Linked DNA regions of Ovis aries. The protein of the gene in region 1 purifies or fractionates together with the protein of each later gene. This does not show direct contact. Links are inferred from orthologs where the notes say so. Each region holds a gene or a part of one and is shown in the gene's direction. Other genes may lie near its edges. The genes, in order: ERBB2, SLC39A7, TFRC, ACSL3, ATP1A1, LRPPRC and CDC37.

Region 1 (3,500 bases):
GCACTCTGGCTCAGCGTCTGCAGCTTGGGTCCAGATACCCAGTTGGGATCTGACACTCCTTTGCTCTGCCTGGGGAAATCCCAGAAGTCCCTGCAGTGACCAGGCCACTGGTGGTCCCCAGGCCCCAACTATGACTCGAGCTGACCCTCCTTCCCCACTTTCTGGGTGGCATTGCGGGGGTGGGTATGCCTTGCCAGGAGGTTGGCATGTGAGTGGCATTGTTTGCTCGGGAAAGGGGCAGGGGGTATCCAGAGGATTCATGATTCATCATTGCCTCTCTTGGGGGATTTTTACCCATTGGCCCTGAGTCGTGCCTTTGGGACAAAAGAAGGCTTTCTTTGCCAGCCAACACCCTGGATTGAATGGGCAAGCTCCCTAAGGCTGGCCCAGTGGGACCCCCTCTGGATGCTCAGGATGGGGCAAGTTGGCGGGGGGAACCTCCTCTCTGATTTCCCTCCTTTTCCCAAACTTGCACACTTTCTTTTGCTGTTGCACGTGGCCGGTTGGAGAAGCTCACTGCGCAGGCCTTTTGACCCATCTTCTCTGTTCTGCCAGTGTGCACCGGCACAGACATGAAGCTGCGGCTGCCAGCCAGTCCCGAGACCCACCTGGACATGCTACGCCACCTCTACCAAGGCTGTCAGGTGGTGCAGGGTAACCTGGAGCTCACCTATCTGCCTGCTGATGCCAGCCTCTCCTTCCTACAGGTGAGGCCCATGGGCAAGACCCAGCCAGGCCCTGCTTCCTGCTGGGCTGAGCCCTCTGCCTGCAGATGGGTGGTAGAAGAAGGTTCCCCGCCTTACATTTTCTCTTTCGTTGTGGCTCCTGAACCGGGAAGTCATTTCTGATGTCTCACCCCATCTGTCCTACACTAAGACCAGCTGACTCTCTGTCTACAGCGTGGCTGACTGTGGACATCTCTGGGTGGAATGCATCTATTCCTGGGCTATATTTTTTGCTCTCTCACCAGCACAATCACCTTCCCTTGTCCAACTGTCCCAGCCACTGTCCCCCTCCTATCTGGAGTAATGAAAGCCCTGGCAGGTTCTGAGTCCAGTTCTGCCATTGACAAGCCCTGTGAATGTGGTCTAGCCCCTGGCTTCACTGGATCTCAGTTTCCCTGTCTGTATATTGGGAGCCATGAGTGCTTCTCTGGTGGCTCAGATGGTAAAGAATCCACCCGCAGTACAGGAAACCCGGATGCAATCTCTGGGTCAGAAAGATCCCTTCGAGAAGGAATTGGCTACCCACTCCAGTATTCCTGCCTGGAGAATCCCATGGACAGAGGAGCCTGGTGGGCTACAGTCCATGGGGTTGCAAAGAACTGGACACGACTGAGTGACTAATACTACATTGGGAGCCATAGGCATACTTGGACTCCTCCTGGGGAGCCCATTTAGAATATCATGTGGGAAATATATGTGAAAGGGTCAGGAACAGGCGAGCGAGTGGAAGCCAGCCTCTGTGTTGTGTCCCAGCGTGGGGCCAGGTGTGCGACACTTAGTCCATTGAATCCCAGACATCATCACGTCCAGGCATTTCCTTTACAGATGGAACAGCTGAGGTGTAGAGAGGGTGGGGTGCCCACAGTTTACAGAGTGCTGCCCCCACCCCCTCATTTTCTTTCTTGATCATACTAGAATTTGGTCCTAGAACCTGGTTTGGGGAGGTGGTGGGCAGACTGCTTGGCAGCTGGGCCCTTGCCCAAGATCCCCAAGCACAGGGGACCTTGAGGAGGTCTTGGGGGTTGGATGGTAGTGGTCCAGGGCCTGACCTTCCTCAGCCCTCTCCTCCTCTGTCCCTTTTCCAGGAAATCCAGGAGGTGCAGGGCTATGTGCTCATCGCTCACAATCGAGTGAGTCAGGTCCCACTGCAGAGACTGCGAATCGTGCGAGGCACTCAGCTCTTTGAGGAACACTACGCCCTGGCCGTGCTGGACAATGGAGACTTTCTGGAAGGTGCTGCCCCTGCTGCGGGCACGGCCTCAGGAGGGCTGCAGGAGCTGCAGCTGCGAAGCCTCACAGGTGACCATCTTTATCCTTGAAACTTTCTGCTGGTTACTGAGAGCTGGCCAGGGGTCCCTACTAGCCAAGGGGTGACTGTGAGTCAGAACTGGGGTCCTGTCAGAACTGGCGTCCTGGGGACGGATGCAGGTGGAACTAGGAAAGGCGCCCTTGTGAAGATTCAAAAAGATTTCCCCTCTTCCCAGGAAGTCACAGCTTGCACCAGCCCGCATAGTTTGATGATTAGGATGCAGGCTGGATTTTTGCCCACGTCTTGGCTGAGTGCACATGTACAGTGAACAACCTGTGTAACTGTACGTGGCAGCCCTGAAACAGACAGTGTTTCAGACTCTGAGTGCCCGGTGCTTTGCATGCATAATCCCATCACTCCTGCCATAATCCTGCAAGGGAAACATCAATGTTCTCATTTTACAAATGAGGAAACAGGTTTATGGAGGATAAGTCACACAGCTAGGTAGTGGTGGTGAGGCTGGGTTTCACACTCTTTTAATTGCTAAGCCGTGAGCACACAGTAGAGGTGGAGGAGAGGAGGCGGCGGCATGGGCAAGTCACTCCCCCCTGGATCTTTGTTTGTGGGTGGTATTGACAAGGCTCAAAGATGCTGAAGGGGTGTTCTCTGCTCCCTGAGGAACCTGGGGTGTGTTTCAGAGGCCTGCTCCACTTTTAGAAGGCAGGCAGGCCCCAGGGGAGATAAGATGCCAGATGGGGAAAGAAGCCCCTGATTATTGCCCACCCCACAGAGATCCTCAAGGGAGGGGTCTTGATCCAGCGGAACCCCCAGCTCTGCCACCAGGACACGATTTTGTGGGAGGATATCTTCCACAAGAACAACCAGCTGCCCCTCAAGCAGATAGACACCAACCGCTCACGGGCCTGTAAGCCTCGCTGCCCCCTGCCTGCAGCCGCCACCCTTTTTCACGCAGCCCAGCGACCCCAGACTCCTGGCTTACTCCTTGTGCCCCTCTGCTGCCGCACTAACAGCACCCGTCTCCCCTTTCTCTGCATCTCTTCATCTCTGTGGGTCTCTGTCCTGTTTTTCTCTGCTTCTAGATCATGCCTCTGGCTTTGAGGTTCTCTTTTCCTGCCTGGGTCTGCCCTTCACTGTGCATTTCACGTCCTGGTCTCGGTCTCTCTCACTGCCTCTCTGTTTCTTCCTCCAGGCGCACCCTGTTCTCCAGCTTGTAAAGCTCCCAACTGCTGGGGAGAAAGTTCTGAGGACTGTCAGAGCTGTGAGTTACAGGGCGGCCCAGGGCCTGGAGGGCGGGGGCTGAGTGACACGGGAGGGGCTGTGCCAGCCCTCGGCCTCTTCCCTGGGGCAGGAAGTCTCCCCAGAAGGTGGTGCTGGTGAGGGGCTGGTGCCTAGACTGCCGCCCAGCCCTCATCCCGCCTTGACAGTGACGCGGACCGTCTGTGCCAGTGGCTGTGCCCGCTGTAAGGGCCCACAGCCCACCGACTGCTGCCACGAGCAGTGCGCTG
Region 2 (4,266 bases), on another chromosome or scaffold:
GGGAGCCCAGTGGTGGGGGTGGCATCGAGGGTGGGGGTGGAGCCCCAGAACCTCCAAGGGACGCAGCTGCTGAAGGGGGTAAGGGTGGTCCGGGAGGAGAAGGGGGAGCGGCCCCCTGGGGAAGGGGATTTGGGGAGGAACTGTCTGGGCTCCGCGAGTCTGGGGGGGGTGGTGAGGGAGGGTACACACAGGCACAGACACACAGAGACAGGAGAGACAAAAAGAGAAAATGAGTCTTGGATCGCCCAACGGGAGACTTCCATTCTTTCTCTCTGATTTCCCCACCGCGCCCCCATTCCACCCGTTCCCAAGTCCAGAGGCAGCCTACTGCCAAACAAGGGCTGAACCCCTAATCGTGGTGGGAGGAGGGGGCTGATAAACAAGAGGAGAGCTGAGGGGAGGCAAGCTCCAAATAGTGAATTTGGCCACCCCAGGCCGGAGGCGTCTCGTGTGGGTGGGGCAGCACGTGGGGGGAACCCGCCAGCCTCTGCACTCCCAGCTCGCCGCCCGAACGTGCAGGGGAGAGAGACCCCGCCGAGGGCGCGGAACTCGCCTCCCAATGTCCAGGGTCCTCAGGCTCGAGGACCGGGGCCCTGCGCCGGGGACAGCGGGGCAGCCGGGCCTCCGGCGGCCGCCGCTGGGAGAGCGGAAGCGCCCCCTGGCCGCCCCGCCCCGGGGGCAGGGCACTGCGGCCCCCGGGAGGAGGGGACGCGTGTTTACAAACAAGGGGGCGGGGGCGCCCGGGAGAGCGCCCGGGAGGGGGAAGGGGCCGCCGGTGTCGGGGTCTCGGCGCCCGGGCCCGTCTGCGGGCTCACTCACCCCGCCCGCTGTCGCCCATCCCGTCCCGTCCAGCCTCCCCCGGCTCCGGCTCCGGGGCCTGCTGTCCTCCGGCCGCCGCCGCCGCCGCCGCCGCCGCGGGATCCAGCCAGGGCCGCCGCCGCCGCCACCGGGACGCGACCCCACAATGCATTTCTTTTCGCACCCCCACCGGCCCACACTGCCCTGCGGCATGCCGCTGGGGGAGGAAGGGCGGGCGCGCAGCCCAAGACATGACTCCCAGCTGAGTGTAGGGACGCCGAGCGGCACCAGGGGTTGCCGAGGACCGCTCGGGGGGACGAGCCGAGCACGAGGAAGCCCCAGAGGAAACGACTCTGGCTTCAACCGGGTCAAACTAAGCGCTTCGCCCGGCCCTGTACCAAAATGACAGCGCCAGTGTGGCAGCCATCTTGGTATAGACGGGAAGTCTTCGCGCTAGTTCCCGCCCCCTCGTCTAGTTGGAAACGGAGGAGGCGGTCTTCTCCAGCCTGTTAGCCAGTCTCGCCAGGCATCCCCTTAAATAACCTCCACGTCCGCGCATGCGCGCCAAGGCTGGTCCGCATCCCCGCCACCCGGAGTGCGGCCATATTGGTAAAGGTGCTGGGACCGAGGTAGAACGGGACTCCCAAGTTCTCGCGGGAGCTAGGGGCGGGACTGCCACGTCCGAGTAAACCGGGAAAGGAGAGGATCCCGGAGCCGGTGAGAATTCCCTGCTTTTCTCTACTGTCCTTTCCAGGCCCTTTTCCTCACCTTGCGGGTCATAGAGACGAGAGCCCAGAGAGTCCATAAAGTGGAGGATCGAAGCCTAGAGCGGAGTCCCGGGGGCCCTGTATCAGGGAAGGGGTTCGGGATAGAGTCTCGGGAACAATGTGGGTGGGGACAGAACGGAATGGGGGAGCGGCCCATAGAAGTGGACGGTGGGCGCGAACGGAGTAAAGCGGACCCCTCATGGGTGTAGAAGTGAGGGCCAAGTGGAGTCACTGTCTCTGTCCCTCTGGTCAGCGTGATGGCCAGAGGCCTGGGGGGCCCCCGCTGGGTGGCCGTGGGACTGCTGACCTGGGCGGCCTTGGGGCTGCTAGTGGCCGGACACGGGGGTCATGGAGACCTTTACGAAGACCTGCACGAGGACTTCCACGGCCACAGCCACAGGCACTCACATGAGGATTTCCACCACGGACACAGCCATGCCCATGGCCACGGCCACACTCACGAGAGCATCTGGCATGGGCATACCCACGCTCACGACCACGGACATGCACACGAGGATTTGCACCATGGCCATAGTCACGGCCACTCCCATGAGAGCCTCCACCACCGAGGACACGGACATGACCATGAGCACAGTCATGGAGGCTATGGGGAGTCTGGGGCTCTAGGCGTCAAGCAGGACCTGGACACTGTCACTCTCTGGGCCTATGTGAGTCCCCTGGGGATGGGGCAGAGGGAGGCTGATGCTGTATTGTTGGGAAACCCCACACCTCTTAACCCCTGACTCTCCCTCACCAGGCACTGGGGGCCACGGTGCTGATCTCTGCAGCTCCATTTTTCGTCCTCTTTCTTATCCCTGTGGAGTCAAACTCCGCTCGCCACCGCTCTTTGCTCCAGATCTTGCTGAGTTTTGCTTCTGGTGGGCTCTTGGGAGATGCTTTCCTGCACCTCATTCCTCATGCTTTGGGTAAGTGATCTTTAGCTTCTACCTCAAATCTTAATGAATTTTAGTCTTTGGGCAAGACTGTTCTTTCCCCTTTGTGACCCTTCACCTTCTAGTGTTCCTGCAAATACACACCCCTTGCTTGGTTCCCTCATCTGGCCTTTTCTCCCTCTTCTTCCAGAACCTCATTCTCACCACCCTCTGGAGCAGCCAGGACATGGACATTCCCACAGTGGTGAGGAAGGGGCGGGTGGAGACACGGGTTGGGGTGCTGGAGAAGGTCTATCTCTCCTGTTCTTCTCCTATGCGTGGGGAGGAAGAGTCCAGAATCCACATCTCCCTTAATGTCTCAATGCATCTATTCCCAGGCCAGGGCCCCATTCTCTCTGTAGGACTGTGGGTCCTCAGTGGAATTGTCGCCTTTCTTGTGGTGGAGAAATTTGTGAGACATGTAAAAGGAGGACATGGACACAGTCACGGACATGGACATGCTCATGGTCACACACATGAAAGTCATGAACATGGAAGACAGGGTGAGCCCAGGAACAATTTTTCTGAAAGCCACATTGCCTACCTTTGGATCTCCTCATTTGAAGGTTCTGAAGTGGGAGGAGACTAGCCTTGTGAGGATATATTGGCAGATCTTTGTTCTCCGCTTACACCAATTCCTTTTTTCACGTACAGAGCGTTCTTCGAAGGAGAAACAGAGCTCAGAGGAAGAAGAAAAGGAGGCAGGGGCATTGAGGAAGAGGAGAGGGGGGAGTACAAGGCCCAAAGATGGGCCAGTGAGACCTCAGAACGCTGAAGAGGAGAAAGCAGGGTCAGGTGAGAGCCAGGGTTCCATAGGCTTGGGCCAGAGACATAGTTGTGAATTGCTGGAAATAGCGCTGTGGGTGATGGCAGGTGTCTGGGAAATACTAGGGCTGGATATGAACTGGTCTCTCGGGGAGATGTGATAATGGTTGATCACGGCTGGGACTAGGGGTGATGAATGCCTCTAACTCTTTCATCTTCCCTTTCTCCTATAAAAGACCTACGTGTATCAGGGTACCTGAACTTGGCTGCAGACCTGGCACACAACTTCACGGATGGTCTAGCCATTGGTGCTTCATTTCGAGGGGGCCGGGGGCTGGGGATCCTGACCACAATGACTGTTCTGCTACATGAGGTGCCCCATGAAGTCGGAGACTTTGCCATCTTGGTCCAGTCTGGCTGCAGCAAAAAGCAGGTTGGTGATGGTGTACACCAAACATGGTTACCTCAAGCCCTTTACCCTCTGCTCACCTAGCCCCAAACCAGACTGCCACTCATGAGTTTGAAACAAATTGTACTACAGGCATACTTTGTTTTATTGTGTTTCTGTATTGCACTTAGCAGATACTGCATTTTTTACAAATTTGTAGCAACACTCTGTTGAGCAAGTCTTTTGATACCTTTCTTCCAACACTGTTTGTTTACTTCACATCTGAGTCACAGTTTGGTAGTTCTTGCAACATTTCAAGCATTTTCATTACTGTTACCTTGATCTGTGATCTTTGCTGTTACTATAGCAAAAAGATTGCAACTTGCTGAAGGCTTAGGTGATGGTTAGCCTTTTTTAATCGGTATTTTTTAATTAAGCTCTTACATTGTAGGTATAATGCTACTGCACACTTACAGGATAGTGTAAATATAACTTACATGCACTGGGAAGCTAAAAAATTCATGTGACTTGCTTTATTGTGATGGTCTGGGACTGAACTCACAGTATCTCTGAGGTATGCCTGTATTGGTGACAGTGGATCCTCTAGTAGTGAAAA
Region 3 (3,869 bases), on another chromosome or scaffold:
TGACCTAGTATTAGTTTTTTTAGGCTCTAAAATCATTTTAAAGAAAGGATCAGTAATGATTTTCATCTGTCATTTTCTCTGTATTTCTGTTTAATTCAGCCCTTAGCTGTTTTATTGTAGTGGAAACTTCCGTATGGAGGCTCCAACCAAAAAAGGAACAAAAAACAACCCAGTGCAGTTAGAGTTTACAAAGGAATTGACATTAGAAGATTAGTAGCTTGGTTCTCAACATTCTTAAAATTCAGGGAAATTTAAACATGCAAGTGAGAATGATGGTGGTTTTACTATATCAGGTCGTTTTCTCACGGCAAACGCTGTAGCATTGTGTAAGGTCTATGTTTTGTTTCCGTAGGTGGAATATCACCTCCTCTCACCCTATGTGTCTCCAAGAGAGTTTCCTTTCCGACACATCTTCTGGGGCTCTGGCTCTCACACTCTGTCAGCTTTACTGGAGCACTTGAAGCTGCGTAAGAAACTTAATGGTGCTTTTAATCAAACACTGTTGGAAAACCAGTTGGCTCTGGCAACTTGGACTATTCAGGGAGCTGCAAATGCCCTCTCTGGAGACATCTGGGACATTGACAACGAATTTTAAATGTGACACCCAAAACTTAATACGAGAACATCAGGGTAGTGTGGTTTCTAGACTTATATTGGTTATGCTAAATTTTCAGTAGGGCTAAAAAACTAATATTAAAAATCTACCCAGTCTTGGTACTATTAGATGTTGGTCTTTAGGCAGCAGCTTTTAATACAGGGTAGGTACTTGCATTTCTAGTTAAATTGAATAATTTTTTAAAATGTTCACAGTAGAATATTTTCTGTGATTATCTCTAGACTTTTTAGTGCTTTGTAATGGTAACTGCCTCTTTCCTGTCATAGTTCTGAAAAAGTCAGAACCAGTTATGTGAACTGTTGGTCTAAATCCTAAGGACGTGAGCTGGTTATCTTTTGAGTTGGAGGAGGAAGGTAGCTCAGAGTGATCTTCCATCTTCATTTGATGCTAGACAGACACCAGGCTGTAAGGCTTTACTCTCCACGTGGGGTCTCTGCCTTCTGTAAGGATTTAGCTGGTTTCCACCTCTGAAAGTGGAACAGTTCACTTTCAGAAGAGATGGGACATGTTTTCTTGCCAATGAGGTCTGAAATAGAGGGCCTTCAGCTGCATAAAACGAGGTTCAACTGTTTGTCACAGGAGTAAGGCCTTAATGTGGCAACCTCAAGATTATCTATGAAAAGAGGAGACCAGAAAGCCAAAGACCTAGTATATTTTATTTTCCTCTATCCCTTGTCCCATAAATCTTTGTTAGTTTTTTGTTTTCACTTATTCCAAGGTATTTTGAAAGAGAACCAGGTTTTAGGTGTTTAATTTCAAACTCAATTTATCAGACTTTAGAGAACACAATGCCAAATTTTGGCCAAAGTGTTAATTTTTTGGAAAAGCTTCCTGTCATTTTGGCACTGAGATATTTATTGTTTATTTATCAGTGACAGAGTTCACTATAAATGGTGGGTTTTTTTTTAATAGAAGATAATTATCGGAAGCAGTGCCTTCCATAATTATGACAGTTATACTGTCGTTTTGTTTTTTTTTTTTTAATAAAAGCAGCATCTGCTAATAAAACCCAACAGATACTGGAAGTTTTGCACTTGTGGTCAACACTTAAGGGTGTTAAAAAATAACCGCAAGCCAAATAAAATTATAAAACTCAGTCTTGAGAATTAAATTTAATTAGTGGTTGCTAATCAAGTTAAACTTCTATTTAGCTAACCAGATAAAACTGGCAGTTCTACTAAATGCAGTGAATTGTGACCAAGTTATAAATTAATGTCACTTAAAAGCTGTGGTTGTATTCATACATGCAAAATTTTACAGTTCAATTTCTCTAAGATGTAACTTCAATTTGAATTTTGCAAAATTTCCAGTACCTTTTCACAAACCTAACTCACATTATCGGGAGCAGTGTCTTCCATAATGTATAAAGAACATGGTAGTTTTTGCCTACCACAGTGTCTGTATCGGAGACAGTGATCTCCATATGTTACACTAAGGGTGTACGTAATTATCGGGAACAGTGTTTCCCATAATTTTCTTCATGCAATGACATCTTCAAAGCTTGAAGATCGTTAGTATCTAACATGTATTCCCAGCTCCCTATAATTCTCTATCTTTTAGTTTTAGTTGCAGAAACATTTTGTGGTCATTAGCATTTGGTGGCTAACTTCAACCACTGTAAAATAAAACTACTTCCTTCAAGGTTCTTTGTTTTTAAACCTAATGTGTTTTGTTATATTTGTGGTCTCTCCAGGCCTTCTGTTAGGCAGGATAGTAGCATACATTTATAATGTTTGCTGTTTCCAGGTGAATTTAACTTTATCCCCTTATTTGCATGTTATCTCCTATAAACGTAGTTCACACAAGTTTGAATCCAGAATTAACCTTTTAGCTTATAGCAGTAGAAACTTGTACCAGAGTTTGGGGGGGAGGGGCAACTGCAGGGTTGAGGGAGGTAAAGTTTGCTAAAAGGTCTTTGATCATGTCTCCCCAACCATCAGTATTTGGTGGTTATAAGTTAAACGTAGACATGAACAAGTAAGTTTGAGACCACATCAGTTAGGACTTTTTTTTCTACTCACTCATTTTTATTATAAACCTGATAATCAGCTGTTTGTTCTAAGGCAGTTCAATACTGTCACCTAAAAAAAAATTCATAGGGTAATCTTAAGATTCTTAAATTTAGTGTCATTTATGTAAATTAAAATAGATCTAGATTAATATAGCCTCACTGATTTGACTATTCAGTCTGTTTCAGTCTTCCAGTGTTTTATCTTGAACTGATACTTAGTGTAAGTGAAAAGGTCAGAGTTGGGATTCCTGGTTTGAGTATCATGCTTTGTCATTTTAATGAAAGTTCAGTGACTTCAAGGCATATTATGAATAACGGGTATACATTTTACAGCAGTAAATTTCTTCAGAAAATTTTTCTGTAGTTAGGATTAAGTTATTTGCAATCAAACAAGTCATTATGTGGTAAGGGGCTTAATATTCCTGGAAGAAATGGATATCTGACTAATGCCAACCAGCTGGTCAGATTTTTTCGGTTTTAGATGTCACATGTATTTTGAAGATAAAAGGATAAAATGAGGGAGCTTTGTCATGATTCACTATTCTAGAACTTGCATGACCTTTATTGTGTATCCTCTGGAATGTTGTTGAAATTTTAGTTTACTAAAAATAGTGTATTAGCCAGTTTACTGCTCAGCTGTATGTTTGTGAACAAGTGATATGCCCTTAAAATTGTATACAATCTGGTATGTGCAACAATGTGGAGATTCCTCAAATGATTTAATAAAATGCTTGAACACTGAGTTGTCGTTTTATTAGATTTCACTTAGGTTCCCAGTAAAACTGAGCGGAAAGTACAGAGTTCCCATATACTCCCTGCCTGCACACCATCCCCATCCCAGTTTCTTTGATTAGCAATACTCTGAGAGTGCCCCACCCCCACCAAATACATTTGTTATAATCAGGGACTCTATCTTGACACATCATTATCCTCCAAAGTCCATAGTTTACATTAAGATTCACTCTTGGTGGTTTACATTCTATGGGTTTGGACAAATGTATAATGATATATTTACCGTTACAGTACAATACAGGATAATGTTACTGCCCTTAGTATCCTGTTCTACCTCTTCAGCTTCCCTTCCCAGTAACCTCTGGCAACCACTGATAATTTTTAGCGTTTCCATAGTTTTGCCTCTTCCAGAATGGCATGTATTGGGTTGGCCAAAAAGTTCATTCAGGTTTTTCCATTACATCTTAGGGAATCATACGGTTCATTCAATGCAGCTTTTTCAGATTGGCT
Region 4 (4,088 bases), on another chromosome or scaffold:
TGGCTTGGGGCCCAAGATGCGTGAGCTTTCTTTGCTCCTCCCCTCATCACTCCAGACAGCTCAAGTTCAGGCGGCTTCACAGATTTTGAGATTCCCTTGGGAAATCGAGCCCCTGCTTTTGCCCAAGGCTGGCTCATGCACGTCACCTTTCACCTACTTTAAATATAAGTTTTGCATCGCATGGTGGTTTACTATTCAAGTAGCTATTTCTAGCTCCTTCATTACTTCAAAACAAAATGAAACCCTCCAAATGTTTTACTTCTTGTGGAATCGAGTCTGACTTAAAAGTTACAACTTCGTTCACAGACCACTAAATAATATGTTGAATTAAAGAGAAAAACAAAAAAAGCTCAACCCCACTACAGCTTGCATAACGAAAGCCATCTTTTTAATAGTGTATTGTAGTTGCTATTTTAGTCATTTGTGTTTTGCTTTGTTGGCTTGCAGGAAGGCAAGTCTACCTGTACTCTTTTCCCCGTTCGTACTATCTAAAGTGAAATATAATGGCAAGCTCTTCAAAATACAGAAACACGTTCAGCTTCATAAAAAGAAGCTCAGAAACAGTACTGTGGGGTCAACTTTATCCTTTAGAAAACAAGTACCAATCTTGTATATGACTTTCCTGGTAGCTCAGACGGTAAAGCGTCTGCCTACAATGCGTATAGAGTGAGTGCACCGAGGGGAGATGGGCTATTTGCTGGGTTCGGTGAAGCCAAAGTAAGAATAAAAAACCTGCTTTGAATTCCTGAGCCCCTCTCGCTTCAGACATTTCCCCCAATCATTTTATTTTGCAAAATCTGACAAATCTGTGCAAGAACGAAACACATAATCCAGTTAAGAGGGAAGATAATGGCGCACTTTTTTCCAGATCTATATTAAGATTTATAGATTACAGCAACATCTGCGCTTGTAGTTTTTGGGAGGGGCGAGGCGGTGGTCTTTCCAACCCTAGGGGAAGGGCCCTCCCGCAGACCGAGCCGGACCGCTCCTCCTCCACCTACGTCCCGGCCGCACAGTCCAGCTCCCCTCCCCCGCCGCCGCGGTCCAGTCCTTCCCCGCCGACCGGCCCCCGCCCCGCGCAGGCTGCGGCTAGGTCCCGTCCGCCGCGGCTCGGGCGAATGACCCGTAGTAACCCCGCCCCGCCCCCGGCCGCCCGCCGTGCTCCCGGCCGGAATTCGATAGGCCCAGCCCCGCACGCGCCACCGCCCGCGGGCCAATGGGCGGCGGCCTCTCTGCATATGCAACGAGCGCCGGCCGGGGGTGCGCGTCCCGGGCGGTTCGGCTCAACAGACGCTGGTCTGCCGGCGCCGGTGTGCGAGTCCGCGCCTGTCGCCGCGGCCGGGGCTGGGACGAGGCGGTGGCGGCGGACCGAGTAGCAGACGGCCGTCTCCTCGCAGTGCGACCGCGGCGGCAGCGTCAGGGTCTCCAGGAGGCGGCCTAGGGCGCTAGTGCTTTGGGGGCGCAACCCAGGCCTGCGTGGGCCCGAGGAACCGGGGCCCCGGCGTCGCGGTGAGTGCGGCTCCCGTGGTGGTCATGGTGGGGCCTCCGCGTGCGGAAGGGCTGCGCCCCAAGGGCGACCCTGGCCCGGGGGAAGGATGCGGCCGGCCTGGAGGCCCCGGATCCCCGACGTGGCCGCCTAGCCCGGCGGTGCGGGCGTACCGGGCCACTCCGCGGCGAGGGTGAGGGGTGCCGCCGTGGGATCCGGGAAGCGGCTGAGGTGGGGCTCGGGGCCTCAGAGCCCACGCGAATCCGGGGTGGGGGGGGACCGCAGGCCGAGCTGTCCGGGGGAGGAAGGATGCGCGGGGCTCCCTCCCGGCGCTTTGGGGGCGGGGTGGGCTGGGGGTTGGCCACTTTCACTAGCCGGGCTCTGACGCGGTCCTCGGGAGGAAACACCCCTGCGGTTTCCGAAACCCATGCTGGAGGGGCGGGCGGGGGGTGTGTTGCTGCGGGCGGTGAGGAGAGATTGAGGAGTATGAGGTGGGTCGACCTTGGTATTTGTTCTGGCCGCGATCGGAGGCGATGGGCCTGGGATGAATCCTATTCGTTTGGGGTTGGGAGTTGGTTTACTTTCCCTAGGTGTATTTTAATTATGCACTGGTAATGGAATGGGTAATTCCGAGCAACTCGAGCGGGGTAGGAATGATCCAGCCCGTTTCACAGATGGGGAGCCCGAGGCCCAGAAACATTGAGCTGGTTTGTCCAGGCTGGCTTTGGAAAATGTGCTCTAAGCTATTGTGTATTTTGTTGTTTAGTCGCTAAGTCGTATCCGACTCTCTGCGACCCCATGGACTGTAGCCCACCAGGCTCCTCTGTCCACGGGATTCTCCAGGCAAGAACATTGGAGGGGGGTGCCATTTCCTCCAGGGTATCTTCGCGACGGAGGGATCGAACTCTCGTCTCTCCTGTCTCCTGATTGGCGAGCGGGATTCTTTACCACTGAGTCAGCTAGGAATTGCAGAGAAAATCACAGCTTCTCATTTGCCGTGATTTGGGGGCAAGTTAACGTGTCCAAACAGCAGTTCTCTCCACCTGTAAAATGGGAATAACCACTTCCTTAGAGAGTTGTTAACATACTATGCAGAAACTCTTCGTAGGAAACCTGGAATGTTGTCAGCTGAGAGGAAATAGGCCTTGTGAAATTGACTAGCGGAATAAGATGACAAACAGCTGACACTTACTGAGCCTTTATAACATTCCAGATTTCCTATGAAGAGTTTCTGCATAGTATCTCTAAAACTGTTAACAACTCTCTAAGGTGGTAGTTATTCCCATTTTATAGCTGGAGAGAACTGCTGTTTGGACACATTAACTTGCCCCCAGATGACTGCGAGTAAGAGGGGAAGCTGTAATCAGACCCGCCTGTTTGAAAATCTAGAGCTCTCTTATCCAAGCGTTATATTATGCTGCCTCTCTTTGGTGGCTGGCTGAATAGTTGTCACGGTGGAGTTTTGTTTGAGTGGCCAGGAGAGCAGTCATTTGATGATAACCTTTTCTGGTTCCCCAGGTTTGTTTCAGGAGTTGAGGGGTGGTGCTGAGTTGCTCCTAAAATTGTGTGTTAGAAGGTTATTACTGGGAAGAAGTGTGGCGACACGGGAGTGTACTGTATAGACCGTTGTTTTGTGTTCTGGAGTGTTCTTGTGCAGTTCTTAACACTTAGGAATGAGTAAGGCTTCTTCAGTCACTGGCATTTTCCTTTTAGTCTTTTCCTAGTTCATTCTTTTTCTGTAAAAAGAGTTGGTTCTGTAGTAAGATGGCAGTGTTGGGTGTAGGGCTGGATGTACGTAGATATACACTGGATGTACGGGGCTGGGGTGACAAGTCATCTAGTGTCCTTGGGTCTCAGGTACTGGGTTTGTGAGCTATGTGCACTGGATGATTTAAAGTTGTCCTTCTTGAAGGAAGGATGGATCGGGAAAATCAATCCCTGCCTGGTTTGGGAAGTCAGAGCCCCCCAAAGTCCCAGCACATTTCTCATTGCTTGTGTGCTCTTCTGCTGTCCTGTTTAACAATTCCTTATTTAGTTAATTGCTCACTTAGAGCTTTTAATTCCTGTTCTGTGTTAGGCAACATGTAAGGTGCTGGGAATATAGCAGAGAACATAATTGATGCCATTTTTGCCTTTATAGAGGAAAGAATATGAAACAGGTCATCATACAAATAATAGATAATTACAAATTATGATGTGTATAATGAAGGAATTTGTGAATGAGTATTATATAGACTATTGTGATTTAGATGGAAATCTAGTCTAGGGAGGGTTTTTTTTTTTTAAATGGTGGGTGACAAGTGCTTGGATGATTAGACTGGGTACTATTAAAGAAAACTTTTAAATTTGGGCGTGATTTTAGATTTATAGAAAAGTTGCAGATATGGGAATATTCCTATATACCATAATCCCTATACCATAACCCAGCTCCCCTGCTCTAATATTAGCATGTCACATAACCTTGGTTCATGTGTCAAAACAAAAGATTAATATTGATACTATACTCTAAATTATAAACTATGTTCAGATATCACCAATTTTCCCATGAATGCCCTTTTTTCTATTCCAGGATTGAGTCCATGATACCAGCTGGCATTTTGCG
Region 5 (3,500 bases), on another chromosome or scaffold:
TTAAATGCTTTCTAAAAACAAATTAGTCACACTCTTTATGAGTGCTTGAATTTGACATCTGTGTCCGTGTAGAAAATTCTAATTTATTTGAACATTAGTAGGATAAATGGAGCCTCTTCTTTCTAGCGTGTTGTCCAGGCCCTTTGGAGTTCTCCTTTGTGGGCTGGAGTGGGTGTGGGGATGGGGGAGAGGGCTGGGCAGGGCTGCAGGTGCGCATGAGTCTGCCAGTCCCTGTTTGGATTTTCTTTGGGAAAATTGTGTACATGAACATGTGTCAGGGATGCATGAGCACCTTGCCACACTCATTTCCTTTGTAGCATTCAAAGTGTGCTACAGGGTGTAATACACTAAATTCAGAAATAAGGGATCTTGTATCTTTCAGAACAATTATTAGGAACTTACCTAGTGCTCCACTGGTTAGGATGTACTTTCACTGCCAAGGGTCTGGGTTCAATCCCTAGTCAGGGACTAAGATCCCACAAGCCACATGTCACAGCCACAGGAAAAAAAAAGCAAAACAAAACTCCCTCCCTGGGCTGTCAGGCCCAGCTGTCTAACGTTTGCATGCTTACCATTCTTTACAGTTATCCATCCACAAGAATGCCAATGCAGGTGAGCCCCGGCACCTACTGGTGATGAAAGGTGCTCCGGAGAGGATCCTGGATCGCTGCAGCTCCATCCTCATCCATGGCAAGGAGCAGCCCCTGGACGAGGAGCTGAAGGACGCCTTTCAGAATGCCTACCTGGAGCTGGGTGGCCTGGGAGAACGTGTGCTGGGTACGCTGACTGTCTGGGAAACAATTGCAAGTCACCGCGTTAACCTCTGCTTCTCGTTAACTTCCCTTTATTTGCCCCCTTTGTTTTGAAAACCATAAACACGGCAGACACCGGGCAACAAAATCCTGCCGGTTTGCCTCTGATTCTGACTTAGACCTTTGGTCTCAAGCTGGTCAGTTCTGTTTGCTCAGAAAAGGAGGGGAAGAGAGTTGTTGTCTGGCTTTTGCTGCTATGTCCGTGATCTGTAGGCTTCATGAAATGAAAATTCATTCATTCCTAGGGTATCTAGAATAAAGCCGCTTCCCGGCTGCCACAGAATGGCTGTGAATTTACCTGGGCACTTGTGTTACCAGCTCCCAGATTAGGTGAATGGTGAACTTGGAGCCTCAGATGCCACCTGTTCTGTGTCAGCCACTGCGGACAAGAAGCACGTTCACCCAGTGTGTCATAGGGAAAGTAGCATCTGTCATCTTTTGTACAGATAAAAAAATGAATGTAATTCCTCTGTTCTCCTTAGTTGAGTAACTTAGATAGAACTGATTACCTGGTCCCCATACTCTTGTTCTTACCTGCTCTTCAGTCTAACTTGAGGTATCTTAGGTCTCTATTCAACTGAAAGGTCATTCTTAAGTGTGGGTTTGTTTTTTTTTTTCTGTTTCTGCACCTCCACCACCCCACAGTAGAAGCAGTCTCTCCTATGAGTCCACAAAGCACCTGATATAACTTTAAAGGACGTTGTAACCTCCACACAACATCGAAAGAAATGTCTTGAGTATCACAATTCTTGTATTAACAACAGTACTAGATGATGAACCCCTTGGGCAGAGTGTGTCTGATCTGCATTTATCCTGGAAGCTTGGCCTCTTTCTTCTACACAGCTGCTCAGCAGTGTATGTTTTGGTTAGATGAACAGTGAGTAGACCCATGGCCTTGGTTTTTTTATCCAGAGAGGAGAGGAGAGACAAGTAATCACATCATGTGCCAAAGTCCAAGTAAATGAGGGGGCGGGTCTCAGTTCACTTCCATTCAATTGCTCAGTCATGTCTGACTCTGCGACCCCATGGACTGCAGCACTCTAGGCTTCCCTGCCCATCACCAACTCCTGGAGCTTGCTCTAACTCCTGTCCATCGAGTCGGTCATGCCATCCAACCATTTCATCCTCTGTCGTCCCCTTCTCCTCCCGCCTTCAGTCTTTCCCAGCATCAGGCTCTTCCAGTGAGTCAGTTCTTCACATCAGGTGGCCAAAGTATTGGAGCTTCAGCTTCAGCGTCAGTTCTTCCAATGAATATTTAGCACTGATTTCCTTTCAGATGGACTGGTTGGCTCTCCTTGCTGTCCAGGGGACTCTCAAGAGTCTTGTCCAGCACCACAGTTCAAAAGCATCAATTCTTTGGCACTCAGCCTTCTTTATAGTCCAGCTCTCACATCTGTGCATGATGGAAAAATCATAGCTTTGACTATATGGACCTTTGTCAGTAAAGTAATGTCTGTGCTTTTTAATATGCTGTGTAGGTTTGTCATAGCTTTTCTTCCAAGGAGCAAGGCTCTTTTAATTTCATGGCTGCAGTCACCATCTGCAGTGATTTTGGAGCCCCCAAAATAAAGTCTGTCACTGTTTCCATTGTTTCCCCATCTATTTGTCATGAAGTAGTGGGACTGGATGCCATGATCTTAGTTTTTGAATGTTGAGTTTTAAGTCACCTTTTCCACTTTCCTCTTTCACACTCATCAAGAGGCTCCTTAGTTCCTCTTCGCTTTCTGCCATAAGGGCGGTGCCATCTGTGTATCTGAGGTTATTGATATTTCTCCCAACAATCTTAATTCCAGTTTGTGCTTCATCCAGCCCGGCATTTCTCACAATGTACTCTGCGTATAAGTTAAATAAGCAGGTTGACAATATACAACCTTGACCTACTCCTTTCCCAATTTGGGACTGAAACCATGGTGCTCAGACTCCCATTTCTCCACATTAAACAGAGCCTCATCCTCTGAGGCTTGGTAATGGATTCTGTCTGTATAGCGTGGTTTCCAAGGACTCCGTATCATTCATAAATGTTCAGTGAAACTCATTTGGTTATAAAAGTAGAATTTTAAAAAAGCTTTCCAAACTAACAAACTGCTGCACAACAAGCTGGTATCCTGCAGCTTCCTCTATCACCGGAAGTCCTCACAGACTCCCTGCCCTCCTGCAGGTTTCTGCCACTTGATGCTGCCAGATGAGCAGTTTCCTGAAGGCTTCCAGTTTGACACCGACGATGTGAACTTCCCTGTTGATAATCTCTGCTTCGTGGGGCTCATCTCCATGATTGACCCACCACGGGCTGCTGTCCCAGATGCTGTGGGCAAATGCCGAAGTGCTGGAATCAAGGTACTGCCCCCACCCCACCGTGGCATCACCTCTTAGCAGTTCTGGGCACCCTCCTTAGTGCCCCTCAGGGTCCATGTGATCGCTGGTGTTTCTCACCTGGAGGATCGATTTTTCATCTCCAAAGCTTTTTAGTTACCCCGGAGAAAGCCAAATGGTATTAAAATGTCGGTGTAAGCCCCAGATGAGGGATCAAAAAGTTAAAAAAAAAAAAAAAAAAACCTTTAAGAGAAATGTAACTGAGCAAATTAAAAAGTGCTGAAGACTTGGTAAGGTTTTAAATTTTGAAATATTTGCCTTATTCTAAATTAGTACTCATCATGCAGTGAATGCCTGTCTTGTGTTTTCAGATAGTTG
Region 6 (3,500 bases), on another chromosome or scaffold:
AGATTACTGACAATACCTAATACAGTGTAAATTCTATTTGCTGGCACCCAGAAAATTCAACATTTGCATTTTTGGACTTTCTAGAATTTTTTTTTCCTGAATATTTTTCGTCCAGGGTTGGTTAAATCCAGAGACTTGGAACCCACAGGTTCCAGAGGGGCTGACTATACTAAGAGATACAAAAGGGAATAGTCCATTAAATTGAGTAGGCAGTTCTACTGTATTATTGTTAATTTCTATGATACAATGTCCATATATCTGTCATATTTCACTGTTCTTTTGAGTTGTGGTGATGTTACCTATATTTAATTTCCTAGGCACCAGTTATGAAGTCTTTGTTAGAATTGATTCCTGAATTAATTGACAAGGAAGAAGCATACACTTGCCTCATGAAAAGCTATGGTAATAAGTCTCACGTAACTGCATTATTTAAGTGATTTAAATATTTGTAGTATAGTCAACAAGTCTTCAGCTCAAAAGCAGTAATCCTAAATATCAGATAATTGCTTACGGTATAAATAATTTATTTAGCCTTGGGGTATGTTGTAAAACTACATTTAAGGGAGTTCCCTGGTGGCTCAGTGGTAAAGGATTTGCCAGCCAATGCAGAAGGCATGGGTTTGATCCCAGATCTGGAAGATCCCCACATGCCATGGGGATTAACCCTATGCGCCACAACTGTTGGGCCTGCCCTCTAGAGCCCAGGAGCTGCAGCTGCTGAAGCCCGTGTGCCATAGGGCCCGTGCTCTGCAACATGGGAAGCCGCTGCAACAAGAAGCTTGTGCACCACCACCGGAGAGTAGCCTCTGCTCGCCACAACTAGAAAAAAGCCCATGCATCAGCAAAGACCCAGCACAGCCAAAAAAGAAAAAAAAGAAACCCCGTGTTTAAAAAAAAAAATCTGAAATTATTCTTATATGTTACTGTAAACCACCTCTGAGCATCTTCTGAGGGGCCCTGCTTTGTTGAGTTACGATCCAGCTTCCTGGAAAGACTTAGAAGTCCACTTGGGTGTACATTCTGGGAACCAGTCCTGCCCCTCCAAGGGCCTGGCGCCTGAAAATGGCTATATGTTTAAGACTTCACTTGCCTGTTTGCTCCTTCAGTGGCCTACCGACCTCCTCTTGGAAATAGCAAACACCTTCATTAAAAAGTGGGCCCCAAGGTTTTACCTGAAGTCACAGTTTTGAAATTGTAGTCTTTTAAGCAGTTTTCTTCCCTGGTTGCCAGGCGACCACACGTGAAAGGGAACCAGTTTAAAGTTTCCTCAGTAATTAAAATGAATGTCAGCATTTGTAAGTTATGATCAGCTGTCCATCTGACACCCGCTGATTTGTTCACTTGAGCCACAGGGTAAATAAAGAGTTGCTTTGTGGATTTGATTGTTGGCAGGACACCAGACTTAGCAATCAGAATTCTCCATTTTTTACCCTTATGAGCGGAATATGATATATTTTGAAATAGTGCTATAGTCATAAACTTTCTTAAGGTTACATTTGCAGAATTGGCAGGTATTAGTAGTATGTAAGATGAAGTAGTATAAAACAGCATGGCTATCCTACTGAATTGCGTGACAGTTGGGAGGGAGAAGAGCAGGGAGATCAGGAAATAAGGAAAGAGAAGATAGGAGTGTTTTGGGAGTAGCTCCCTAGAAGATGGTAGAGCTTGGGTTGAGCCCTTGGCAGTGGAAGGAGAAGCCTTTGGTCTCTTAGGGAAGGGAGCAAAGGATTCACACAGAGGAAACTGGCTTCACCCAAACTAAAGATCTGTTCAGCTTCAGTGAGAGGTGTACAGTCATCCTCAGTCCCTTTAGGGAGATCCTTGATTGATCCCTGAACATCCCACATCTTCCTGGAGGCTCACCTTGGTGCTGGTAGAGTTGGGGTTAATTATTCAGCATCAATGTAGGGTAGATGTTAACAATCTAATGCAAGATCAAAGAGTCAGATCACTAACAATTCTTAGCAGAGCCTGTATAATTTCAACAGTGAACTTAAAAATATTTGCATGTCAGCCACAAGTAGAGAGCCAGCTGAACTTAGCTCCTAGGCTGCTGCGTCATCCAATTACATGAAATATTAGTGTAGCTTGTTACACAGATGTATGTAGTTTTTTAATGTATATTAGTAATGTATATAAATTTGGGGGGATCACTAGCTAACTATATGCCTCACTTGCATATTTTAGAATAGGAGAATATATTGAAAGTCTTCTGGTGGTGTTTAGCAGCTTAGTAGCTGATCTTGATGTAGATACAGACTTCCACATTACTTATTTTACATGCCCCTCATTACAAAAGTCACTGAATTAGCCTGATTTCAAAGTGTGGTTTTGTAGAGAAGATTGAATGGCGTGTGCTTACTCTGTGATTGAAGACTTCTGTCTGGTCAGTTGAACTAGCATGGGCCTTTTAAATAGCTGTGTTGCCGTTTTCCTTCTCTTTCATAGTGGGTAATGCTGAGTGAGAGGTGTGGGGAAGAAGACTGGGTTGTAGATCCTGGGTATGGTTTTTTTTGTTGAAGGTAGTTGAGTATTGGTTTCGTTTAGGATGAAGGGATCCAGGTATGGATGAATGGCTAAGTGTTTGGGAAAAACAAGAAGAGAGGTTGACTTTATCTATGATTAATATCTTTTTTTCTAGTCTTCGACAATGATGTCACATCTGCTAAAGCACTATATGAAAGTTTGACTGCAAAGAATGTAAAATTGAATGATCTGTTTCTAAAGCGTTACGCAGTTTTGCTGAAGAATGCTGGAGAGTCTGTCCCTTTCACTGAACCTCCTGTGAGTGTTTCTTAATTAAGAGGGGGGAAATACCTCTACAGATTTGTGTATGCTTCATAATAATGTGTGAAGAATAAGGTGAATACTTAATTACATGAGGATTAGATCTCTGTGAAGGACCCTCCAGGGAGGGCTTCAGGAACTAAAGATATGCTATGGGTCTGGCTGCTGCAGAACAGCCCTCTGATACCTAGGTTTAAAATACAAGGTCACTCTCAGACCTTCAGCTGTAGGTATGAATTTATCAAATGTCCTTGGGGCAGTTCTCTCTTCATTTCAACTTGAAATAGGATTTAATGGCCTGTATTTCAGTAACTAAGCATATTATGTCACTGTTAATTACTTGTTCATTTCCATTTTTAAATAAGTTGGTTTTTATTTCTTTATCTAAGGTTTTTAATTGAAGTATAATTGACATAGCATTATATTAATTTCAAGTGTACAAAATAATTTGATTTATGTAGATACTGCAGAATGATCATCACAGTAAGTCCAGTTAATGTTGGCCACCATACATAGTCAAATATTTTTTCGTGTGAAAACTTTCAAGATCTGCTCTCTTAGCTGCTGTCGAATGTGCAGTACAGTATTATTAACTATATATATATATGTATGTATATTGTCTCCCCATGGTTTACCCACTTTCATCCTCCCCAACCCACACCCCTGCCTGCCTCAGGCAACCTTTGCTGCTGCTGCTGCCACTCAGTCGCGTC
Region 7 (4,075 bases), on another chromosome or scaffold:
GAAAGGGGGACTCCCCCGCCCCCGCCCGCCTACTCGCGGGTTTGAATGGACCGTGAGGGGGAGGGGCAGCGGCGGGCGGGCGCTTTTGTCCGGATGGCCCCACCCCTTCCCGGGGCCGGGGAATCCCCCACACCCCACCCATTTAAAGACCTTTACTCCTTCCTCTCCAGCGCCCCCCCAAACGCCTGCTTGGTTGGGGGGAGTCTGGAAGAGGCGCCCTTCACTCAAGTGGCTGAATCTCTACCCATTCTCCCTGTCCCCCGCCCTGCGCCCTTTAATCTGAGATAATCCTGGCCCTAGGCTGCAACGCAGCCTTTTATCCCGGTATCAAAGCGTGGGTAGGGATACATGAAAATGTGTGGCTGCGGTCGCCCAAGCTCAGTGTAATAGAGTTCTTAGAGTCTGGAACGAGGAAGGGGATCCCAGACGAAAGAGGGAGGGACTGCGAGGAGTCCCAGAGTACCTCGACGGAGAAAGACCCCCTGCGTGCGCACTTCCAAGCTCTTCCACCCCTCCCCCACCTGGCGCGGGGCACCCGCACTGGCCGCTAGTTAGACACTAGCGACACCCAGCGGATGCATGGGGAGCCGCCGTAGACAAGCTAATGAGGCCCGTTAAGTGCGGTCGGGTGATTCCAGAGGGGGCGTGTATGCGCGAATCCCCGCTAAGGAGTGGCAGAAGATGGGGGAGGCAAGAGGGGAAGCTGTGGTCCGAGCCAGGGAAACACCAGGTCTCAAGGCAGGGCCACATCGCCCCCATCTCGACTCCTCGAGGGCAGGGCCACAACCTTCCTTCACTTAGACCCTCCTAGAGCAGGGCCTTGTACCCCTTGTACTGGGAAGGTCCTTTCCCATCAGGCACCATCTCCAGGACAAAGTTAAGTCCCTCTTCACAAAAGACGGGAGCGAGGTCTTTTCGCCGAGGCCGAGCCCCAGTAGTGGGCTCAGGCTGACGTCACTGTGGCGTGGCTAAGAGGACAATCCTCTTTTTCAGTCTCGCCAACTGCCCCCTCTCCCAAGGCTGCCGTAAACGCCCACCGTGGGGTAGCGGGAGATGAGGGGGGCTCGAGGTTGGAGAACCCACCCGTAATTCCCCAGGAAGGGCCTAGTGGAGGCCGGAAGCCGGATGGGGTGAGGTCTCAGCGGACTCCCGAGAGCCGGAACACGTGCGCAGGGCTCTTTAAGAACTTGGTCGCCAGTGCCGCTGCTGAGGTTACTAAGGATGTGACGTCACGCGAGGGAGGGGTGTAAGCGTCAGGGCGGAAGCGGAAGGGGCGGGGCTCCGCGGGCTGTGTCTCAGTGCTGCCGCTGCCGCCGCCGCCGTCGCCGCCACCGCTACCAGAACCCTGGAGGGCTGGGCCCCGAGGCAAGATGGTGGACTACAGCGTGTGGGACCACATCGAGGTGTCTGATGATGAAGACGAGACGCACCCCAACATCGACACCGCTAGCCTCTTCCGCTGGCGGCACCAGGTAGAGCTCGCGCGCCCAGCCCCTTCCCCCACTCCCGGGACTCCGCTTCAGAGTTCTGACCCCCTGATACTGCCGGGGGGCCCCAGCCATTGATACCTGGGATTGCCCCCTACAGCCTGGACTTTCCGAATAGCCTAGGGTTCTTCGATTCAATTCCGGGGCCATAGAATTGCCGGGACCCCTGAGTTCCTTGCCCGCGATGCCGGCGCCGCCCCCCCCCCCCCACCCCCACCGCCCCGCGCTTCCAGTTTCTTCTTGAAACGCCAGGTTGACCTGTACGGTATATTTTTAGAATTTAGACTGCCAAGACAAGCTTTTGACGTGCCTCCCAATCCTGCTTGGGATCTTCCATTTACACCCAGATTTCTACCTCAGAATCTGGATCCTGAACCTAGTCGGGTACCCAGTTAAGATCTTGGCTGTTCCATGGCTCCTCCTAACCCCTGTGCTCAGTCGCTTCAGTCGTGTCCAACTCTGTGACCCCATGGACTGTAGCCCGCCAGGCTTCTCTGTCCGTGCGATTCTCCAGGCAAGAATACTGGAGTCGGTTGGCATTTCCTTTTCCATGGGATCTTCTCGATCCAGGGATCTTTTATGTCTCCTGCATTGGCAGGCAGGCTCTTTACCACTGGCCCCGTCTGGAAGTCCTCCAAAACCCTAGAGTTCCCAATAGTTTAAGTCTGTTCTGCGACCTGCTTTTCTGGATCCTTATGGTTCAGATCCAGAAGTCTTACTCCTCTGAATAAAATAATTCTGTCTTCCCCTGAGATTTCTGTTCCTGGCTTGGGACTCCAACCCACACCCAGGACCCCTCCCCTAGAACAAAGATTGGTACCCCCTCCCCCCAAGGCCCTCAGTCTCATCTAGGCCTGGAATTTTGAAACTTGGGTCCTGTTCAGAATGAACCACCACCTCCACCCTGATGGAGCCTCCAATTCCGGAGGCTCTTCTTTAGCCTCTGGTACTGTTAGACCCAATTTCCCATTACATCAGGAAACCCTACCCACGTGGCTTCCTGCCCAGCCAGAACCCCTGCCCCTCCTTGGTACCTCACACCCAGTCCCCGCCCACCCCCAAGACAGACTTCCAGTGGGAACCTTTGCCAGCTTCAGAATGCCACATTCAAACCCAAGTCCAGGACCCAAATCCATCCCATCTCCCTTCTGACCCAAACTTGGTGTGCTATTCTCAGACATCCACAATGACCCTGCTGTTACAAGGAACCCACCCATCCTGATTCCAGATTCACCGCCCCTTCTTTTATCTATTTTCCCCCAAATACAGACCCCCAGAATCCCAAGTCTGTATGTTCTTTCGACAACCTGCAACCCCCCCCCCCACCCCCGCAGCCGCTCAGCTGTGCTCACAGACCAACAGAATGGCTCTCCTGAGACCTTGTGTGCTAACTTCTTGCTCCACCAACTCAGAGCTCCTACACCCACATTCCAGGGGCTGCTTTGCTCTCACACTTATGGAATATACCTTCTAGAACTTTCCAGTTAGGAAAACCTCATTCTGTCTTCCCATGTATCAGCTTGCAGTTGTTTATCCAGAAACACCTAGAAGCGCCCTTCCTCATCCTGCTGAGACACAGTATCCGTGCCTACATCTAGTCCCAGTTCTGGGTCCAACCCATTACTTAAAGCAGCAGCCTCCTGGCTAGGGCTTCCCTGGTGGCTCAGATGGTAAAGAATCTGCCTGCGGTGCAGGAGACCCAGCTTCAATCCCTGGGTGGGGAATATCTCCTGGAGTAGGGAATAGTGACCACTCCAGTATTCTTGCCTGGAGGGAGAATCCCATGGACAGAGAAGCCTGGTGGACTACAGTCCATGGGGTTGCAAAGAGTCGGATACGATTAAGCGACTAACCCTTTCACCTGGCTAGTGTACCTGGTGGGAAAGCCACTGGAGTGGAAAAAGAAAGTTCTAGTATTTCTCTCTTGCCATATGTGACATTTTATGATGAAATATTGAAGCTCTCCGCAAAGCTTTAAAGCTCATTCTCGGGAACACCTATTCTTGTCACGAAGTTGATCTCTATCACCAGGTTTGGTCCTGCTGGTTTGGGAGGCCATGCCCGCTCTCATACAGCATCCTCCTCTCACCACGCCCTACTCCCTCCTGGCGCAAAACCTTTCCCTGTCCAACCGCTGAGGACCCAGGGCTGTCGTGGAGATGAGTGGAGGCAGGGAGCCTGGTGTCTCCAGCACGAGGTTCAGCTGCCAGTGACTGGCAGCCTGGGCTCCAGCCCTGCCACAGGACCATCACTGCTTTGGGGGAGCGAGCCCTCCGCCTCCATGAGACTGTCGTGAAAATGAAATGAGATTAGATCTTGAAAGAACTTGGCTCGGCGCCTGGGAGGAAAGAGTAAGCAATACCAAGAGTGGAAGAGGGGATTAGCCAAAAGGTAGCCTGGTACCCTTGTGAGCGCAGGCCTGCCCGACTGGGTTCATATCCTGCTCCTTCTGCATATCACTGACTTGCTGTGATCCAGTGAGGGTTTTTTTTTTTTTTTTTTTTTAATTAATTTGACCGCACAGGGTCTTAGTTATAGTGTGCTGGATCTTTAGTTGCAGCATGTGGAATCTATTAATAGTTCCCCGA

What was found.
Region 2: the proteins of ERBB2 (region 1) and SLC39A7 purify together in Homo sapiens (affinity purification with mass spectrometry; 3 studies listed by BioGRID and IntAct, with this or other methods). This does not show direct contact. The link is inferred for Ovis aries from reciprocal best matches to the Homo sapiens genes ERBB2 and SLC39A7.
Region 3: the proteins of ERBB2 (region 1) and TFRC purify together in Homo sapiens (affinity purification with mass spectrometry; 3 studies listed by BioGRID and IntAct, with this or other methods). This does not show direct contact. The link is inferred for Ovis aries from reciprocal best matches to the Homo sapiens genes ERBB2 and TFRC.
Region 4: the proteins of ERBB2 (region 1) and ACSL3 purify together in Homo sapiens (affinity purification with mass spectrometry; 3 studies listed by BioGRID and IntAct, with this or other methods). This does not show direct contact. The link is inferred for Ovis aries from reciprocal best matches to the Homo sapiens genes ERBB2 and ACSL3.
Region 5: the proteins of ERBB2 (region 1) and ATP1A1 purify together in Homo sapiens (affinity purification with mass spectrometry; 4 studies listed by BioGRID and IntAct, with this or other methods). This does not show direct contact. The link is inferred for Ovis aries from reciprocal best matches to the Homo sapiens genes ERBB2 and ATP1A1.
Region 6: the proteins of ERBB2 (region 1) and LRPPRC purify together in Homo sapiens (affinity purification with mass spectrometry; 3 studies listed by BioGRID and IntAct, with this or other methods). This does not show direct contact. The link is inferred for Ovis aries from reciprocal best matches to the Homo sapiens genes ERBB2 and LRPPRC.
Region 7: the proteins of ERBB2 (region 1) and CDC37 purify together in Homo sapiens (affinity purification with mass spectrometry; 3 studies listed by BioGRID and IntAct, with this or other methods). This does not show direct contact. The link is inferred for Ovis aries from reciprocal best matches to the Homo sapiens genes ERBB2 and CDC37.

The regions. Positions count from the first base shown.
Region 1 is NC_056064.1:39,822,576-39,826,075, forward strand, and holds part of ERBB2 (receptor tyrosine-protein kinase erbB-2), read left to right. Parts: intron 1-555; coding exon 556-707; intron 708-1,810; coding exon 1,811-2,024; intron 2,025-2,764; coding exon 2,765-2,899; intron 2,900-3,184; coding exon 3,185-3,253; intron 3,254-3,419; coding exon 3,420-3,500. UniProt on the Homo sapiens protein: Protein tyrosine kinase that is part of several cell surface receptor complexes, but that apparently needs a coreceptor for ligand binding. Essential component of a neuregulin-receptor complex, although neuregulins do not interact with it alone.
Region 2 is NC_056073.1:7,539,829-7,544,094, forward strand, and holds the start of SLC39A7 (zinc transporter SLC39A7), read left to right. Parts: upstream 1-1,466; 5' UTR 1,467-1,515; intron 1,516-1,818; 5' UTR 1,819-1,822; coding exon 1,823-2,233; exon of another isoform or gene 2,234-2,322; coding exon 2,323-2,491; exon of another isoform or gene 2,492-2,648; coding exon 2,649-2,702; exon of another isoform or gene 2,703-2,835; coding exon 2,836-3,000; exon of another isoform or gene 3,001-3,151; coding exon 3,152-3,292; exon of another isoform or gene 3,293-3,498; coding exon 3,499-3,695; exon of another isoform or gene 3,696-4,266. Other genes in the region: RXRB (retinoic acid receptor RXR-beta), read right to left, coding at 1-159, 820-1,051. UniProt on the Homo sapiens protein: Transports Zn(2+) from the endoplasmic reticulum (ER)/Golgi apparatus to the cytosol, playing an essential role in the regulation of cytosolic zinc levels.
Region 3 is NC_056054.1:191,487,526-191,491,394, reverse strand, and holds the end of TFRC (transferrin receptor protein 1), read left to right. Parts: intron 1-352; coding exon 353-595; 3' UTR 596-3,369; downstream 3,370-3,869. UniProt on the Homo sapiens protein: Cellular uptake of iron occurs via receptor-mediated endocytosis of ligand-occupied transferrin receptor into specialized endosomes. Endosomal acidification leads to iron release.
Region 4 is NC_056055.1:225,030,297-225,034,384, forward strand, and holds the start of ACSL3 (fatty acid CoA ligase Acsl3), read left to right. Parts: upstream 1-1,288; 5' UTR 1,289-1,509; intron 1,510-4,088. UniProt on the Homo sapiens protein: Acyl-CoA synthetases (ACSL) activates long-chain fatty acids for both synthesis of cellular lipids, and degradation via beta-oxidation.
Region 5 is NC_056054.1:93,737,746-93,741,245, forward strand, and holds part of ATP1A1 (sodium/potassium-transporting ATPase subunit alpha-1), read left to right. Parts: intron 1-584; coding exon 585-777; intron 778-2,970; coding exon 2,971-3,146; intron 3,147-3,500. UniProt on the Homo sapiens protein: This is the catalytic component of the active enzyme, which catalyzes the hydrolysis of ATP coupled with the exchange of sodium and potassium ions across the plasma membrane.
Region 6 is NC_056056.1:80,399,231-80,402,730, forward strand, and holds part of LRPPRC (leucine-rich PPR motif-containing protein, mitochondrial), read left to right. Parts: intron 1-317; coding exon 318-402; intron 403-2,641; coding exon 2,642-2,784; intron 2,785-3,500. UniProt on the Homo sapiens protein: May play a role in RNA metabolism in both nuclei and mitochondria. In the nucleus binds to HNRPA1-associated poly(A) mRNAs and is part of nmRNP complexes at late stages of mRNA maturation which are possibly associated with nuclear mRNA export.
Region 7 is NC_056058.1:12,789,711-12,793,785, reverse strand, and holds the start of CDC37 (hsp90 co-chaperone Cdc37), read left to right. Parts: upstream 1-1,275; 5' UTR 1,276-1,370; coding exon 1,371-1,472; intron 1,473-4,075. UniProt on the Homo sapiens protein: Co-chaperone that binds to numerous kinases and promotes their interaction with the Hsp90 complex, resulting in stabilization and promotion of their activity. Inhibits HSP90AA1 ATPase activity.